Linked DNA regions of Danio rerio. The protein of the gene in region 1 interacts with the protein of each later gene in a pairwise test. Links are inferred from orthologs where the notes say so. Each region holds a gene or a part of one and is shown on either strand. Other genes may lie near its edges. The genes, in order: npat and hinfp.

Region 1 (3,829 bases):
CAGGAGTTATTATTATGGATTATACATAGTGAAATTTAGATTCATCAGTTTGTATTTTTAATATTTAAAAAAAAAAAGCATGACTTTCAAATACGAATGTTGTTCAATACTATGGTGGGCCATTATTGGCATTAACAAGAGACTTTTATCGCACAAAAATAAATATCACCGTTGATCTATTCTCAAAGTTGGTTTGGGAGCTGGGTCTATTCTGCGCAAGCTATGATGACTTTCACCTTGATATTTTAGCACAGATGTAAACCTGACCGGTGAGGCATCTGACGACAAAGAGCCCTTCTGAATCAAATCAGCAGGATGCCTGACTAACTGCTGTTCATCAGTTTCACTTTCACTCATGAACATTTCATTCATGCATTTTGGAAACGGGAGATGAGCCCCTGGTCTAATGCGCCACCTGGCTAGAGAAACGCGTTCTCAAAGACTTAATATTTGGCTAGCACACACTGAATGCCTTCGACAAAAATCAAATGAGCCATTTTAATCTAGATTAATCTACATTAATTCCGAGAATAATCTAGATTAAAAAAATTACTCTATGCCCACCTATAATTAAAACATATCCTTGTTTGTTGTAAAAAATTTTTAATAAGAATACCAAAAAATACTCCTTTGTGTATCTCCTGACTCGTGCCTGCAGCCATGTTGCCATTGTAGCTGCTGTATTCTGAGAAATTTTCGTATGCCTTGCTTTCTAGTGTGGTTCTAAAGGCTGATTTATACTTCTGCGTCAAGTGCACTTGTATGCTTTGGTGTAGCCTTCATACGGTCGCATAGCCCTTGCTGTGGCTGATGCGCATCTCTCAATAAAATGTAACTACACATCACAAGCTGTGTGATTGGTTGACTTGTTAGCTGTGATGAGTGTGGGCGGTGCTGAGAGCCACGAGCCTGTTAGAGTGAGTGTTTACAAGTGTCTGGTCTTATGAAGGAGCTCCAGATAGACTCTTGTTTTGTGTTTACCTTATGATTACAATTGTTTCATGCCCGCCGGTTCCTGCCTCAGTCAGAATGAGTGAGTTTAACTATTTGTACATTAAGGTAGCATTCAGAAAAAAACAGAACACCCGCAAAGAAACTTGACACGGAAGAACATAACCTCACTGCCTGCTAGCATTTCGGAAGTGTTATTGCAGAGCAACACAAACAGCATGCAGAAGTATAAATGCACGAGTACGCACAACATAGGCGCCGTGGGTCATGCCAATCACTCAAAGCAAAAGTATAAATCAGCCTGGAGTCCTTCAAGCTAAAGAGAATTGAGACACCCCTACCCCCTCACAAAAACGTGCAAAATGAAGGGGAAGGGCTAAGGGGTAAAATTGGGATTGGGCCTAAGTCTTACCTGATTTTAAGAAGGGTCATCAGTAAAATTAAAGGGATAGTTCACTCAAAAATGAAAACTACTCGCTATTTACTCTCCCTCAAGTGGTACCAAACCCTTATGAATTTACCTTTTTCTGTTGAAAAGAAGATATTTTGAAAAATGTTAGAAATCTGTATTGTACTCTGATATAAAAGGAAAAACAAATACCATAGAAGTCAATGGTTACAGGTTTCCAGCATTTCTTTAAATAATTATTTTGTCTTCAACAGAAGAAAAAAAGGTTTAGAATAAGTGAGGGGTGAGTAAATGATAACAGAATAGTTTTGGGTGAGCTATTTCTTTAACTTGATTATGTTCAGTTGATTATGTTATGTTGAGATACATTCTTTTTCTCTTCCTGCATGTTTGAAATTCCAACTTTTTTATTTTTAGGCTCCACTATTATTATATCGTCACCTGTTCAGCCTATGTTACAAAATGTGGTGCTTCCAGTGTCTGTTATGGGGCAGAATACTGGAAAACTCACAGTCCTTCCAAATCAGGTCAGTATCTTTGTAGTTTTTTTTTTTTTTAAACAATGCTAATTTCAGTGTCTTAGTATTGTTTATAATCTTTACTCTTTAAATACAGATGTTGACTTTGCCACGTTCAACCACTGTAAGGCAACCTACGAAAGTAATTTCGCAACATAAACTGGCACCCAAGGAAAACACTGACACTGGTAAGACAGACTTAGTTTTCAGATTTCTTTTTTTATATCTTTTTTTTCTAAATTAAAACTGTTGCAACACACACATACATGTTGACAAGGGACTTTTCAAAAGACTATTATGACATGTTTAACAGGCATCAGCATTTTAAATTCTTAAAAGTTTTTAATATATTATTTTTTTAAATGTATGAACATTTATGTTTTTATGTATGTATTATATCATCTTTGCATCAAATCATGAATTGCTGCTTGTGCGCGGTGTTTGAAATGCAGCGTTCATGAGGCGGGACAGTAAATATGACGTTCTTCTGTTTTCTGGCTGCCATTGTCAGTCCTACATACACTTTTTTGTTTCTTTTTTTTTTCTTACTTTTTCACCATCATTTCACCAACACCATCATAGTTTTTTTTTTCAGCAAATAGGATTGTAATTTTTTTTTACTGCACTCTACATTTACCCAACCATGATCACTTCTGCTACTGAGAAACCTAGAAATCTGAAAAGGGTCTATACATGTCTTAGTATTATTCATTGTATTAGCTTTAAAATCAACTACCACATGGTGAGGCCTTGGTGCGATTGGTCTTGTGGGTAATGTGGTACAATAATGTCAAAAGCAGATCCTCCAGTTCCATTACATTGTGTGGTATTAGATTGGGTACATGTCAGGTTAATTGGGAGGCCAAGACATTAACTTGATTCCAACATTATGTTTCTCAAACCACTGCTTGACAATTGCATTTTATTAATGCAAATCTTTTTTTTTCTCTTTCTCCCATGTCTGATTTGAAATTAACTAGTTATTTAATAACAGTTTTTTAAAAAGAGCTTACTATTTGTTTACTTCTTTTTAGCCAAAACTGGCACACCAGGCTCTGTTCAAGTTTCCAAAGTGCTTTCCCAGACTTCTGAACAAGAAAAGGGTGTAAATGGGTCAAGCCCCAGCCACCGGCGGATACTTTGCTTTGACGTCACGCCTGAAAACAATGCAACTGGACCAAATTCCTCACAGACAAGCATGCTCACGTCCTCTGCTGTTACATCCTCCTCGACTCAAAAAGAAATCACACCCACTAAAGCCAAACAGCCTTCAGCTTCTGACACATCCAAACGAAGAATAGAAACAACTAGACTTCCAGAAGTAAATACCAACACGGGTGCAAAAGACTCCACAAAAGTCACCATCTTTCATCAACAAAAGGAAGCTCTGAAAAGTAGTGTGACTGATAAAGAACTTAATATAATCGAAAGTACCAAGCCTTCACACAAAGAGTCTGTTGTTATATCAGAATCATCACAAAAATCACAAAGCAAAGATGCAGGGCCTTTAACATCATCTGTCCCGGGGCCAAAACAGAAACCATCAGACAACTCGAAAGAATCATCAGGTGAAAAGACTCTCTCAAACCCACCAGAAATGTCCTCAGAGAAAACATCCTTACAAGATTCTCCAGGCATCACTGCTAATAAAGAAAATGAGCTGGAGAGCAGTCAAACACTAGCACGTCCCACTGACAATCTCGTACCATCTCCAGCAAAATTTGCAACACCGTTATTAAATTCTTCCAGTAAAACTTTATGCAAAACGAGCCCTCTGACCAAACAGGCTGTTGAGATGCTGCAGGACATACAAGGTCAGACACCTGTGGCAACTCCTCCGAAAAAACAAGCAATCGGATGTCCAGATCTCCCTCTTCCAAGAACACCCGGACCGGGACGTGCACTAGAGGATCTGACAGATGGATTGAGAACGCCGTCCCGCCAGAGGCTG
Region 2 (4,436 bases), on another chromosome or scaffold:
TGCATGACTTTTTTATGTCTAGAAATACCACTTTTATAATTAGACTGCTTTAGATATCAAGGTTTTCCAAGACTGTGTGAATTCTTGTTATTTTAAGGGAACTGTTAACTTGGATTAAAATATCATTGATATTATTAATAATACAATTATCTATTTTTTAATGCAGGTTTTGGGGAGTGCTGTGGCATTTGGCATTCGTTATCACCTTGTGCGTCTGTTCTATGACGTCTAGAAAACTTGAGAACCTGAGATACTCTACAACTTGCTGCTTTCATTTGGACAAACAACTGAATCAACTGATTTTTAATATATATATATATATATATATATATATATATATATATATATATATATATATATATATATATATATATATATATATTATTACTATCTACTGCCTGTTTTCTATAAAAATCTCATTGCAGTACAGTGTATTTCAGCTCTTCTGTTTGTGTATCTGCATGTGAAGGGACAATCTACACGTAAGCCCCCAATACTCACTGGGACATGAAGGCTCTGTAAATAACAATGTCAGCATGAGGATTTCCAATAATGTGGGGCATCCTGAAAAGCAGACGGTTCTATTTTGAAAAATTATGTGAAGCATTTACATTCAGGGATATTTTAGACAGTTGGTGTGAACATTTCTGAAATATTGCTGAAACACATGTGCACTTATATTTTTCTGTGTCAGAGCAAATAACATGACTCATTTGAATAAACCAGTGTGACAATGGACCATGTTAGCTTCAAGAAAAGAAAATGGAGCATTCAAACTTGAAATCCAACATAACCAAAATATGCTGATTGTTTTGATAAAAAATAAAAAAATATATATAAACCTATAGTGTATTTGTAGTGTGTCTAGCTGATATATGTAGAGAATAGATAATTGTTACCCACATAAAGACACTATAGTGTTTTGGAACCATACTACAGTAAAGCATTTTAAACTGTGTATATTACAGTATTTGCAACAGTTAATAAATGCTACCACATACCAGAGAATTAACTATAGTGAACTGATAAAACTAAAAAACATTGAAGTACAGTTAAGTTAGCTCTACAGTAAAATGTGGTGTATTATAGTATATCATGCCCTATATGATTGTAGAAAAATTAAGTATTGGATGATTTGTTTATAGTAGTGTAGTTGTATTACCGCAGCAACTATATAATTACCACAGATTAATTCAAGTACTTTAGTATGGTTAACAATAGAATATAACTTTCATTCACATTTACTGTTAAAGTAGAATGATACTGTGTCCACTCCAAACAGAAAACAGTGTCGTGCATCAAGTAAAATCGTTTTGAGCGCTGTGAGACATTCATTTCTAGCCAGTGAACGCATTGTGCAATCCGGAACACTTGAAAGAATTTAGATGTTGGAGGGAACGATTATCATGACGTACAGCAAAGCTGCAATTTGATTGGCTTAGATTTGAACGCAACGCCGCAAAGATGATTTCTGATTGGTTTCTTTAATTTCTGGGCAAAAAAGTGAGGAAATGTTTCAAGTAATTGTTAAAGGTGAGTTATTTCTCAATACTTTTAAGCACCTGTAACTGCTCGCGCCCACAATAATAGTCTTGAAAGAAAACACATTCGTTTATTATAACCCGAAACTAACAAAAATGCTTCAACCAGCAAAACGAAGGCAGAATGTTAACTTGCCCTTTTTGTTGTGCTAAGCAGCTATGCACCATGCTAGCTTAACAACTCTGACTATGGTTTCATAAACCTGTTTGTGCTTTCGATGTTTAATAAGCTTTCATGTAATGGATGTAATCGTTTTGGTGGAGTTCGTGTGCTGAAAATCGCTGTGTGTTGTTATTCAATACAAACAAACTGACACTTGGCTTGAGCTGCGGTGTGCAGAATTTAACAGTCATATTAGGTCTCACATGTGACGTTTCTGTTATTCAGAGGACTGGAGGACCACACGTTGTGCTTTATATTCAGTTTTATATGCTGTATAATGCCCCCGTCAGCCAAACGAGGCCTGCGCAGAGAGGAGCTGCAGATGGAGCTCGTCTGTGAATGGGGCTCGTGTCAGGAGACGTTTGACAGGATGCAGGACTTCTGCCAGCATGTGGAGAAACACTATAAAGTCACCGTGGACAACAAGACAGACTTTCCAGGTGCGTTAAACATGTGGAAGGGCCAGGGGTCAAGATACGTCAATGAAATGTATTTAACCTGTATTTAGCTATTCACTTATTATCCTGGTTAAAGTATATATTTTACCCCCAAAAGAAAAAAAAAATCTGTCATCACTTATTCAACAACATGCTGTTCCAGATCTTTTTTTTTCTACTGAGATCGCTGAAAACAAATGTTTTTTTTGTGGGAGGAGATAACACGTTTATATAACATTTTAATCTTACACCGAAATGAGAACAAAAGAAGCAATTAAACCAACAAAATAAGATAGCAATACCTGCTGTGACAAGTTCCAGTTAGTCATGTTACAACGTTTGTTTGTTTTTTATTTATCTGTTAGGAAAATGAACCATAAGGAATGGAAAGTGCCAGTATTAGTATTAGTGAGTATAGCAGAGATGCAAAAGTAGGGCCCACAGGCAAAAGTTGGCATATGGTAACCTTTGAATTGGCCTGCCATGCCATGTAAAAAGAGAGGGAGAGAGCGATGGAGAGGTGGTTGGGGCGAATTTTTGGGGCTGTTTTTGACAGAGATTGTCTTTTCAAATTTAACGTAGCTTTTTGCTTCTTCATTTTATTGCTGAGCTACCAAAAAGCCAAATGAAATTAAATGATTGGATTAAATGTTGTAGATGAATCAGACTTTTAAAATGTACATACGGTCACTTGACAGATAGAGGACAATGCACAAGATATCTGTGAGCAAATTAAGGTAAACGCAGGAGCAGCTTGACTAGTGTATTCTACATTTAACCCCATTGTCTTATAAATGGGATTGTTTATGTTTTTACTTTAATGAGTTCATTATAAAATGTTAAAAAATGATTCTGCATTAGTTAATATGATTTAAAGCAATGTTTCTAGTTATTTTTAAATATTACCAAATAAATTAGCATATTACCCTTAGCAAATAGAATATATACGGTTTGGTGGGTATTTGGCCCACAGCCCTCAATCATCTTGGCCCTTGGGTTTTTGACCCTTTATAGGAAAAAGTTTGGGCACCACTGGAGAATAGCATTGAAAAATGATGCATCTTTGGTCATATGGACCACTTTTTATGGTTTTCATGGATATTTTATATTGTGTTTTTATAACCTTTTTTAAGTTTGCTATTAGTCACCATTTATTGTCAGAAAATGGAAAAGGCCAAAGTCAGGCATTGTTCAAAATATCTCTGTCATAAAGCTGTCATAATATTCTCTAGTCTCTTTTTATTGTCATCTGAAACATGAAATATATATTTTTAATAAAGTTTGAAAAAATTTTGTTCATTTGTAAAATATGCATCACAATAAAAAAACTAAATAATAAAATAACATTATTAAAAAAAAAACTAATTATAAAATGCATTGCAAAGTACATAACAGAATTACTTCAGTTGAAACTAAAATGAAAGCTGAATAAAAAAACTTTAAGAATTTTTTTTAAGAATTTACAATTCTCAACTAAATAATACTATAGAAAGTCTAGTTAAAAGATTATGATCAAAGTTTTAGTTACAAGAATGGGTTACACTATTTTACACTCTTCTTGTTACAGTGAAACTAACTATATTTTTTTACTGAATAATGATTAACTACATGTACTCACTATATGGTTACTGCTTGTATTTATGAATAATAAACTGTTATTACTTTAATATCTATTTTGGGTGGCGCAGTGGGTAGCGCTGTCACCTCACAGCAAGAAGGTCGCTGATTCGAGCCCAGGCTGGGTCAGTTGGCATTTCTGTTTGGAGTTTGCATGCTTTCCCTGTGTTTGTTTAGGTTTCCTTCTGGTGCTCTAGTTTCCCCCGCAAGTCCAAAGATATGCGGTACTGTTGAATTGAGGAAGGTGTAAATGAGAGTGTATGGGTGTTTCCCAGTGACTGCTTGCAGCTGGAAGGGCATCTGCTGCATAAAACGTATGCTGGATAAGTTGGTGGTTCATTCCGCTGTGGTGACCCCAGATCAATAAAGGAACTAAGTCAAAATGAAAATTAATTAATTAATATTATTATTATAAAAAAAATTTATTTCACTCGGGGGCAGTCGTCTAGTCACTGGCACACATTTATCCACTGTTTGTCTGTCTGTATCAATGTTACATCATCAGAGGATTGTTTCTGAGTGTTGAGCATCTCAGCTCAAGTTTTCTGGCAGTCACTGGCTCTGCTGGCAATAATCATAGCTTGGCTTGCCTGCCTGTCTTTCAGAAGAGGAGCATAACTGTCTGTGGCGAGACTGTGGCTTCTGCTCAGTGGAAGGAGATGAAGAGTTTCTCAGACA

Evidence for each region.
Region 2: the proteins of npat (region 1) and hinfp interact in a two-hybrid assay, tested with the Homo sapiens proteins (2 studies listed by BioGRID). The link is inferred for Danio rerio from reciprocal best matches to the Homo sapiens genes NPAT and HINFP.

Annotation. Positions count from the first base shown.
Region 1 is NC_133190.1:28,005,984-28,009,812, forward strand, and holds part of npat (protein NPAT), read left to right. Parts: intron 1-1,777; coding exon 1,778-1,887; intron 1,888-1,975; coding exon 1,976-2,066; intron 2,067-2,912; coding exon 2,913-3,829. UniProt on the Homo sapiens protein: Required for progression through the G1 and S phases of the cell cycle and for S phase entry. Activates transcription of the histone H2A, histone H2B, histone H3 and histone H4 genes in conjunction with MIZF.
Region 2 is NC_133180.1:31,212,511-31,216,946, forward strand, and holds the start of hinfp (histone H4 transcription factor), read left to right. Parts: upstream 1-1,563; 5' UTR 1,564-1,981; coding exon 1,982-2,144; intron 2,145-4,363; coding exon 4,364-4,436. Other genes in the region: dpagt1 (UDP-N-acetylglucosamine--dolichyl-phosphate N-acetylglucosaminephosphotransferase), read left to right, coding at 167-232. UniProt on the Homo sapiens protein: Transcriptional repressor that binds to the consensus sequence 5'-CGGACGTT-3' and to the RB1 promoter. Transcriptional activator that promotes histone H4 gene transcription at the G1/S phase transition in conjunction with NPAT.